2 linked regions of the Caenorhabditis elegans genome follow. The protein of the gene in region 1 interacts with the protein of each later gene in a pairwise test. Each region holds a gene or a part of one and is shown in the gene's direction. Other genes may lie near its edges. The genes, in order: Y113G7B.15 and numr-1.

The links.
Region 2: the proteins of Y113G7B.15 (region 1) and numr-1 interact in a two-hybrid assay, tested with the Caenorhabditis elegans proteins (one large-scale study listed by BioGRID).

What each region holds. Positions count from the first base shown.
Region 1 is NC_003283.11:20,228,374-20,235,736, reverse strand, and holds Y113G7B.15 (Pept_C1 domain-containing protein), read left to right. Parts: upstream 1-1,893; coding exon 1,894-2,181; intron 2,182-3,744; coding exon 3,745-3,919; intron 3,920-4,844; coding exon 4,845-5,213; intron 5,214-6,514; coding exon 6,515-6,771; 3' UTR 6,772-6,798; downstream 6,799-7,363. Other genes in the region: sld-5 (DNA replication complex GINS protein SLD5), read left to right, coding at 237-463.
Region 2 is NC_003281.10:7,362,080-7,365,654, reverse strand, and holds numr-1 (PB1 domain-containing protein), read left to right. Parts: upstream 1-2,190; coding exon 2,191-3,036; downstream 3,037-3,575. Other genes in the region: numr-2 (PB1 domain-containing protein), read right to left, coding at 425-1,270.

The sequences.
Region 1 (7,363 bases):
TCAAAAATTCAGAAAAATTTGCGTAAAAGCTCAGAAAATCTGGAAAATTTCGATTTTTTTTGCAGTTTTTTTTTCTCTCAAAAACTGCAAAATTTCGCTTAATGCCACGTGGCAATTTTTACAATTTTTTTTTCAAAATTTCAAAAAAAAAAAATTTCAAAATTCCCAAAAAAAAACTTTTTTTTTCAAAATTTCAAAAAAAAAAAAATTTCCCAAAAACTCTCAATTTTCTTCAGAATTCATGCCAGCAGCGCTTAAAAAGATGCCAGTTCCACGTGGCGATCATGATGACGTCATGGTTTACGCAAAAGTGACGTCAGATGACGTGGGCAACGTTGCGATTCCGGATTGGCAGGATTTGAATGGAGAAGTGATTTTGGAAATGGAACCGGAATCGTGTCATTTGATTCCGTTCGAATCGGTACATCAATTGGTTGAAGATGGAAATATTCAACTGATGTGAAGAAGAATTTTTTGATAATTTTTTCGGATTTTTTTGGAATTTTCATCATTTTTACCCCTAAAATCGTAAATTTAATCCATTTTTTTGTAATTTTCCCGAATTTTTCATCATTTTTTACCCCTGAAACCCCCTTTTTTTTTTTTTACATATGTCTACTTTAATTTGTCACTTTTTGCCAATTTTCTGTCAAAAAATGAGCATTTTCACTGAAATTTTGCGGTGATTTTTCGCCTGTTTTCTCCTCTTTGAATCTCAATTTTTCACTTTAAAATTATCAAATTTTGCTCAAAAACCTCATTATTCCATTTTTATGTTCCCCCAAAAAACTGGATTTTCACTTCAAAAATCGGGTTTTTTTCTCTTAAATTTTCATTTATTTTAGCTTTTTTAAACATAAAAACGAAGCTTACTCCATGTTTTTTCCTGAAAATAGACAAAAAAATTTGGTTTGATATAAATTTTCGATTTTTGAGCCAAAAAGTGAATAATTTAAAGTTTTTCTGCTCATAACATTGTTCAGCATGACCATAGCGCAAAACTGGTGAAATTTTTGGAACTTTCGTAAAATTTCAGGCTTAAAACACCTAAATTACGCGAATTTTGGAGCAGTTTGAAAACTTGGTCAAGTGGCTCAGGCGGGAAGAGAGAAGGCTATGGTTCGGAGGGTAACAGGTTCGAACCCCCGCTAGGGTCAATATTTTTTATATGTTTGAATTAGTATAGCCTAGTTGGTTTTGAGCAATTGCGAAGGGGAGGAAGGGTTTAAGGGAATTTTTTGAAAAAAATCGATAAAATGTGTTTTCTTTTGGTTTTTTGCCAATTTCTTGAAGTTTTCAGCGATTTTAGCATAAATTTCCAAATTCTGCAGAAAATTTAGACATTTTTTGACACCCATATTAACTTTTCAACTTTTTTTTTCGAATTTTGAGCCAAGAAATTGATCGATTTAAAGTTTTTTACTCATAACTCTGTTCAACATGAACGTAGATCAAAACTAGTTAAATTTCTGGAATTATCGTGAAATTCTGAGCCTAAAACAACTAAATTACGCGAATTTTGGAGCAGTTTGAAAACTGGGTCAAAGTGGCTCAGGCGGGAAGAGGTATGGTTATGTGCGGAGGGTCATAGGTTCGAACCCCCGCTAGGGTCAATATTTTTTTAATGTTTGAATTAGTATAGCTAAGTTGGTTTAGAACAATTGCGAAGGGTTTTGAGGGAATTAAAAAAAAAAAAAAACATTTTTTTTTAAATTTTTAGATTAAAAATTTTTTTTTTTTTGGAGAACTAAACTTTCAGGGCTCAGAGTAACACTGAAACAAGAACAATTTTTTTTCATATTTTATCATTTTATGTTACCTGTTACCTTGAACATGTTGATCGGCGTGATTCCACCTATAAAAACCAGCGAAAACCCCGTAAAAACCTGAAAAATGTTACTTTTCATAATTTCCCCCTTATTCCTACTCTCTCTATGCCAACCTACAGTAACCCAACACTCTCAGGAGGTACTGTCACATTTTAACAATTTCACGATGCACCATAAGAAACACTACCGTACCCCGGCGGAGAAAGACCGCCGGTTGGCTCATTTCGCGAAAAATCATCAGAAAATCCAGGAACTTAATGCGAAAGCAAGGAGAGAAGGACGAAATGTGACTTTTGGGTGGAATAAGTTTGCTGATAAGAATCGACAGGAGTTGAGCGCCAGAAATTCAAAGGTTGGGGAGTTTTTTCAAAAAGCGCACAAAATTCTGCGCAAGATGGTTTTTGATTGGTTGAAAAATATTGATTTTAAACCGAGTTATGGCGTTTTGAAGGTGGTGGCCTAGAAACCGGAAATTTAGAAAATTTAGGTCACCAGTATTAAATAGGTCAAATAGACTCTAAATTTTAGGGAGAGTACATTAGTTTTAGAATCACTGAAAAATATTGATTTTCCGTTGAGTTATGACGGTTTTAAGTTGGTGGCCTAGAAACCCAAAAATCAGAAATTCTAGGCCACCAATATTAAATAGGTCAAATCGATTCCAAATTTTGTGGCAAGTACGTTAGTTTTGGAATCACTGAAAAATATTGATCTTGAGCAAAGTTATGAAGGATTGAAGTTGGTGGCCTAAAAATCCAAAAATCAGAAATTCTAGGCCACCAATTTTAAATAGGCCGAATCTATTCCTAATTTCAAGTCAATCACGGTAGTTTAGGAACCACTGAAAATATTAATTTCGAGCCAAGTTATGAGAGATGGAAGTTGGTGGCCTAGAAACTCAAAAGTTAGAAATTCTAGGCCACCAAATATCAAATAGGTCAAATTGATTTCAAATTTTGAGAAAAGTACGTTAGTTTTGGAGTCACTGAAAAATATTGAGTTTCCGTCGAGTTATGACGGTTTGAGGTTTGTGACCTAGAAACCCAACAGTTAAAAACTCTAGGCCACCAATATTCAGTAGGTCAAATGGACTTCAAATTTTAGGGAGAGTACGATAGTTTTGGAATAGCTGAAAAATATTGATTTTCCGTTGAGTTATGACGGTTTTAAGTTGGTGGCCTAGAAACCCAAAAATCAGAAATTCTAGGCCACCAAATATTAAATAGATCAATTTGATTCCAAATTTTGAGACATATACGTTAGTTTTGGAATCACTGAAAAATATTGATTTTGAGCTGAGTTATGACGTTTTGAAGTTGGTGGCCTAGAAACTCAAATATTAGAAATTCTAGGCCACGAAATATCAAATAGGTCAAATCGATTTCAAATTTTGAGACATATACGTTAGTTTTGGAATCACTGAAAAATATTTATTTTCCGTCGAGTTATGCCGGTTTGAAGTTTGTCGCCTAGAAACCTGAAAAATTCTAGGCCACCAATTTTAAATAAGCCGAATTGATTCCAAAATTCAAGTTGATTAAGTTTGTTTCTGTAAAACTCAAAAATATTGATTTTGAGCCAAGTTACAAGAATTTGAAGCAGGTGGCCTAACTTTTAATTTCTAGGCCACCAACTTCAACCCTCCATAATTCGGCTTTAAATCAATATTTCTGAATTTTACAAAAACCAACTTACGAAATTTGGAATCGATCTGACCTATTTAATTTTTGATGGCCTAGACATCCAAAATTTTGGGTTTCTAGGCCACCAACTTCAAACTTTCATAACTCGGCGGAAAATCAATATTTTTGAAATTTGAAAATTGTATTAGAATGTTCACGGTGCGTTCTTTAAGTTCTAATTATTCTTTTTTTTTAAACGAAAATTAAAAAAAAATAATTTGGAAATTTTCCAGATTCATCCCAAAAACCACACGGATCTTCCAATTTACAAGCCGAGGCATCCACGTGGCAGTCGTAATCATCATAATAAACGCTCAAAACGTCAAAGTGGGGATATTCCGGACTATTTCGACCTCCGTGATATTTATGTCGATGGGAGTCCAGTTGTTGGTCCTGTTAAAGATCAAGGTATGCTTAATTTGAAAAAGCTTAAAATTTGAGTAAACACAGATTTTGATTGGCGAAAAAATATTGATTTTCCGCCGAGTTATGAGGGTTTGAAGTTGGTGGCCTAGAAATGCAGAAATTTTTGGATTTCTAGGCCATCAAAATCAAGTAGGTCAAATTTATTGCAATTTTTTAGACAAATAAATTGGTTTTTGCAAAATTTTATTATGTAGATTTTCCGCCAAGTTATGAATGTTAGAAGTTGGTGGCCTAGAAAAATCATGCTCAGGTTTTCTAGGCCACCAATTATTCGAAAACAATAATAACTTAGACTCAATGTTTTTACAATTTCAGGTTTGAAAACTATAATTTCTAAGCAAAGTTATAGTCGTGGAAGAGTTTTTAAACTTTCTAGGCCACCAACTTGAAACCGTCATAACTCGGCGGAAAATTGATATTTTCGGGTTTTGTTAAAAGCATGTATCTTTCCATAAAGTTTACTATCAAATTAACTTAGTTAATTTTTAATGGCCTAGAAAAACACCAAATTGGATTTCTAGGACCCAACTTCAATCCCATATAACTCGGCGGAAAATTGATATTTTCGAGATCCGTAAAAATAATTTTGTTCACCATGAAATTTACGTTCAATATGACCTACTTAAATTTTGATGGCCTAGAAAACAATCATTTGGATTTCTAGGCCACCAACTTCAAACTCTCATAACTCGCTTCAAAATCGACGTATTTGGAGTTTGTAAAAGCCAATCGGTTTGTAATTTAATTGTTAACTTGAAAAACTCCCCCAAATACCGGTGGCCTCATCTGAAATTCTAGGCCACCAACTTCAAACCTTCATAACTCCCTTCAAAATATTTATTTTTTGGTGTTTCAAAAACTATTTCCATTTTAAATTTTACGCTCTTTTCAACTGATAACTTTTCAGAACAATGCGGTTGCTGCTGGGCGTTCGCCACCACTGCCATCACCGAAGCTGCCAACACCCTCTACTCCAAGTCCTTCACAAGTCTCTCGGACCAGGAAATTTGCGATTGTGCAGATTCAGGAGACACTCCTGGGTGCGTGGGAGGTGATCCAAGGAACGGTCTGAAAATGGTGCATCTACGGGGACAGTCCAGTGACGGTGACTACCCTTACGAGGAATATCGGGCGAATACCACTGGAAATTGCGTGGGCGACGAGAAAAGTACAGTAATCCAGCCGGAAACTTTAAATGTCTATCGATTTGATCAAGATTATGCAGAGGAGGATATTATGGAGAATTTGTATCTCAATCATATCCCTACAGCAGTTTGTAAGTTTTTTTGAAGGGTCTCGCCACGAAAAGTTTTGGGGTACAGTAATCCGGTATGGTTTGGGCCTGAAACATGTGAATCTGGCAAAAATTACGAAAAAAAAATCTTAAAAACTGACTAAATTATGAGGTTTTGAAATTTGAAAATTTTGCGAAAAAATTAGCATTTGGGTCCCACCACGAAACGTCCTGTAGTTCTTTAGTCTGGGATGGCTTGAAGCCCAAATTTTGCAAACTAGTAGAATAAAAGTATGCGCTCCTGTCAAAATAAAAATTATCTGAAAATCTTGAAAACTAGCAAAGATATGTTGCTTTGAAATTTTAAAAATTTTTGCAAAAAATATTTTTTTCAAAATTTTGGTCCCGCCACGAAAAGTCCTGGGGTACTGTAGTCTGAATTGGCTTGAAGCTGAACATTTATAAGCTGACAGTAAAAAATTTTGCACACATTCTGAAATAAAAATAAGTCAGATACCTTAAAAACTGACAAAGTTATAAGGTTTTAAATTTCGGAAAAAATTTGCAAAGAAAATATTTTTTTCTTCAAAATTTTGGTCCCGCCACGAAAAGTCTTGGGTAATGGCTCTGAGCTTTGAATTCTAGTAGAGAAAGAGTATGCGCTCCTGTCAAGTTAAAAATTATCTAAAAATTTTGAAAACTGACAAAGTTATAACGCTTTGAAATTTTAAAAATTTTTGCAATTTTTTTTTTCAAAATTTTGGCCCCGCCACGAAAAGTCCTGTGGTACTGTAGTCTGAGATTGTTTGAAGCTGAAATTTTATAACCTGATAGTAAAAGATTTTGCACACATTTTGAAATTTAACTTAGGTGAATATCTCAAAAACTGGCTAAGTTTTGAAGTATTGAAATTTAAAAAATTTTGCAAAAAAATTTTTTTTTTTGAAAACTTGTGTCCCGCCACGAAAACTCTTGGAGTACTGTAGTCTGAGATGGCTTGAAGTTGAAATTACATAAGCTGGCAGTAAAAAATTTTGCACACATTATGAAATAAAAATTAGGTAAATATCTTAAAAACTGACAAAGTTACGAAATTTTGGAATTTTAAAAATTTTAATTAAAAAATTTTTTTCAAAATTTTGGTTTGACCGCGAAAAGTCCTGTGGTACTGTGGTCTACAATGGCTGAACGCTGAAATTTTTGCAGACTGATAGTGAATCATTTTGCGCACATTTTGAAATAAAGAAAAAGTTAATATCTCAAAAACTGGATAAGTTATAAGATTTTGAAATTAAAAAAAATTCCAAAAAAAAAGTTTCCAAAAAATTTTCAAATTTTTCCAGATTTCCGAGTGGGTGAGAACTTTGAATGGTACACATCAGGAGTACTTCAATCCGAAGATTGTTACCAAATGACACCAGCGGAATGGCATTCCGTAGCAATTGTTGGTTATGGTACATCAGATGACGGTGTCCCGTATTGGTTGGTTAGAAACTCGTGGAATTCCGATTGGGGTCTTCATGGATATGTCAAGATTCGACGTGGTGTTAACTGGTGTCTGATTGAAAGTCATGCGGCTACTGCTATGATTGATAATTAATTGTGTAATGAATGTTTTAAAAAATTAGTTGGTTTAGTGAATTACAACATTTGAGTATACAAAAGTTTTACAAAAGTTTGCCAAACCGGAAACTTAAAAAATAATGAACGATTCGAAAGTTATCACGACAAAATGATTATTTCTTGAGAGAAATTGGCGTTGACTCTCTAATTGGTGTTTCTGCTCCGACAGATCTATCGCTTTTGTCGTCTTGAGCTTTTTCGACGTCATCCTCATTGGTGCCAGCAACCTTTATTCTGAAATTACAGTCGTTAGAGATGACAATGTTAAACTAAAAAAAAACTGAACAGTTGCAAGAAAATCTCGAAACTTTGCCTGTTTATTATTCCTCCAGATAGATAACTAAAAATGTACCTGTGAATAGTGACAATATTCTTCTGTGCAATGTTACATACGCAGCTACATGCCTCTTGTTCAAGAGCCAGATTCCAGTGCATGCCTAGCAAAATGACATGTGTCGCACCATGCAAATTGATTGCCCCTGCTCTCTCTGACAAGAAAACTACGCTGACTGTTCTGTCATTTTTGTCGTTCAGCTTCTTCGCTATTTCTCGACAATCTTTTGCACTGG
Region 2 (3,575 bases), on another chromosome or scaffold:
CAGAAAGACGCTCTAGAAAACTGAAAATAGTTCAGAAAAAGTTGAGGACGTTCCGTTCTGCGGAATTGAAGACTTCTTTTTTTTTATTGAATGACCACTCTAGTTGAAATACTATTCTACTAACATTTCAACTTAAAAATCAATAGACGTCTAGCAATGTTGTTGGAAGTGAATATGCAGAAGGTTACTGTAATATTTTGAAAAGTGTCTAGATGCTCATCACATTATTGAGAGATTCCAATGTATATATATAATGTACATTCTATTTATATGAAAAATAAGTTTATTTTTTAACGTTTATTATAAAAAACAGTTTTTAAAATTATTCAAAAAAGTACATGAAAATAAGTAGTGGAATGAATTGAGAACATTGAATACTACTTTTGAAAGAATAATTATAAAATAAGAATGAAAAATGAGATAATTAACATCGACCAAATCTGCGTTCAAATGGATGTTGTCTCTTGAATCCATGATGTCCGAATCCATGACCAAATCCATGATGATGACCACCGAATCCATGGAATGCTCCAAATGGATGATGATGTCTATGGAAATTGAATCCATGATGATCCATTCCTCGTCTTCCAAATGGTCTTCCGAATCCTCCAGTTGGACCTTCAAATTCTTCTCTTCCACAAGGTGTTCCAAATGATCCTAATGGATGTCTTTTGAATTCTTCTCCTTCACGACATGGTCTTCTTCCAATTGGTGATGCTGATCTTGCACGTCTTCCACCAAAACAGTGACGTCTTTTGAATTCTGGATGTCCATGGGATTCTTGGAATCTTTTCCACATGAGCTTCTTCATTTGATGTCTCTTGTGATGATCATGGAAATTTGAACGACTTCTGCTTCGAGATCTTGAACGATCAAATCCACGACTTCTGGATCTATCACGTCTTCCACAATGACGACGATGTGGAGCTACTTCAGGAGCATCAGCAATAATGACATCTTCATCTCCAGAATCAGAAGAATCAGATGAAGAATCCGATGAATCAGAATCAGCAATCACAAAAATAGAAGCAGAATCTCTGTTAGCCATCTTTTTCAGAACTCTCTGAGCATTCTGAGACATTGAAATCAAATTTCCTTTGTCATTTTTCCAGAAAACAACATTGAAATTGAGTCCGAGTTCTCCCAATTTCAACTCTAATTTTTCAATTAGTTGTTGCAAATTGTAATATTCAATTGAAATTTGTTCAGTTGCTCCAGGAGCAAAATAAAGTTTGAAAAGAATTGAATTGGTTGCAGTTGTAGTTTTCATTTTTCAGAATGATTTTCTCTATTCTAAATTTCCAATTTTTATACCTCCATTCTTAAGCTCCGCCTACCAGCTGTCCCTGAACTATTTCGAAATTGTTTAATGTGTCTGTGTCTATCGAAATAATACGAAAATGTACTGTCATCACTGTCTGCGTCTCGAATTGGCGCTGATCTTTTGATATTCATTGATGAATGAGACTAGAGACATGGATGTATTGCACAAACCACAGAAAGAGCACAAAGTCTTTGAATTTCAGATGATCTGAAATACATCGACATCAATAGAGATTTACTTCTTAGGTGACATAATGTTTGGTGATTTCATTAGAAATATTGAACATTCATCTAACAAATTGGGATCTGCAAACCCAATTTTTCAGAAAACGTGTTCATTTCAAAAAGCGATCGAAAAATAGTTTTTTCCGTAACCCGGACTGAGTGCCTGCCTATGTTTTCAATCTGATTAGGGTCTGAAATCTGGAGAGCGAAATTTTTACAGAAAAAAACTATTTTTCGATCACTTTTTGAAATGAACACGTTTTCTGAAACATTGAGTTTGCAGATCCCAATTCGTTAGATGAATGTTCAATATTTCTAATGAAATCACCAAGCATAATGTCACCTAAGAAGTAAATCTCTATTGATGTCGATGTATTTCAGATCATCTGAAATTCAAAGACTTTGTGCTCTTTCTGTGGTTTGTGCAATACATCCATGTCTCTAGTCTCATTCATCAATGAATATCAAAAGATCAGCGCCAATTCGAGACGCAGACAGTGATGACAGTACATTTTCGTATTATTTCGATAGACACAGACACATTAAACAATTTCGAAATAGTTCAGGGACAGCTGGTAGGCGGAGCTTAAGAATGGAGGTATAAAAATTGGAAATTTAGAATAGAGAAAATCATTCTGAAAAATGAAAACTACAACTGCAACCAATTCAATTCTTTTCAAACTTTATTTTGCTCCTGGAGCAACTGAACAAATTTCAATTGAATATTACAATTTGCAACAACTAATTGAAAAATTAGAGTTGAAATTGGGAGAACTCGGACTCAATTTCAATGTTGTTTTCTGGAAAAATGACAAAGGAAATTTGATTTCAATGTCTCAGAATGCTCAGAGAGTTCTGAAAAAGATGGCTAACAGAGATTCTGCTTCTATTTTTGTGATTGCTGATTCTGATTCATCGGATTCTTCATCTGATTCTTCTGATTCTGGAGATGAAGATGTCATTATTGCTGATGCTCCTGAAGTAGCTCCACATCGTCGTCATTGTGGAAGACGTGATAGATCCAGAAGTCGTGGATTTGATCGTTCAAGATCTCGAAGCAGAAGTCGTTCAAATTTCCATGATCATCACAAGAGACATCAAATGAAGAAGCTCATGTGGAAAAGATTCCAAGAATCCCATGGACATCCAGAATTCAAAAGACGTCACTGTTTTGGTGGAAGACGTGCAAGATCAGCATCACCAATTGGAAGAAGACCATGTCGTGAAGGAGAAGAATTCAAAAGACATCCATTAGGATCATTTGGAACACCTTGTGGAAGAGAAGAATTTGAAGGTCCAACTGGAGGATTCGGAAGACCATTTGGAAGACGAGGAATGGATCATCATGGATTCAATTTCCATAGACATCATCATCCATTTGGAGCATTCCATGGATTCGGTGGTCATCATCATGGATTTGGTCATGGATTCGGACATCATGGATTCAAGAGACAACATCCATTTGAACGCAGATTTGGTCGATGTTAATTATCTCATTTTTCATTCTTATTTTATAATTATTCTTTCAAAAGTAGTATTCAATGTTCTCAATTCATTCCACTACTTATTTTCATGTACTTTTTTGAATAATTTTAAAAACTGTTTTTTATAATAAACGTTAAAAAATAAACTTATTTTTCATATAAATAGAATATGTGACTACATTATATATACATTGGAAGCTCTCCATAATGCGATAAGCATCTTTCATGATAGACACTTTTCAAAATATTAAAGTAACCTTCTGCAGATTCTCTTCCCACAACATTGCCAGGATTTCATGTCAATTTTTAAGCTCCAGTCATTTTTGAAGTCAATCTCCATCAAAATTTGTTTTCATTTACGTACGAATAATACTCAAACTATTTAGTGGAAATTAAATGTTTGCATTTCGTTTCAAAAATTAATTGTTCTCCAGCTATTTAGATCACTATTTCACGTCATGTTGCCATTTAATTTTGTGTGTTTTCTGTATTAAATAATTAAAAATTTTATCATAAAAGCATCTAAATTTCTAAATAAACTTT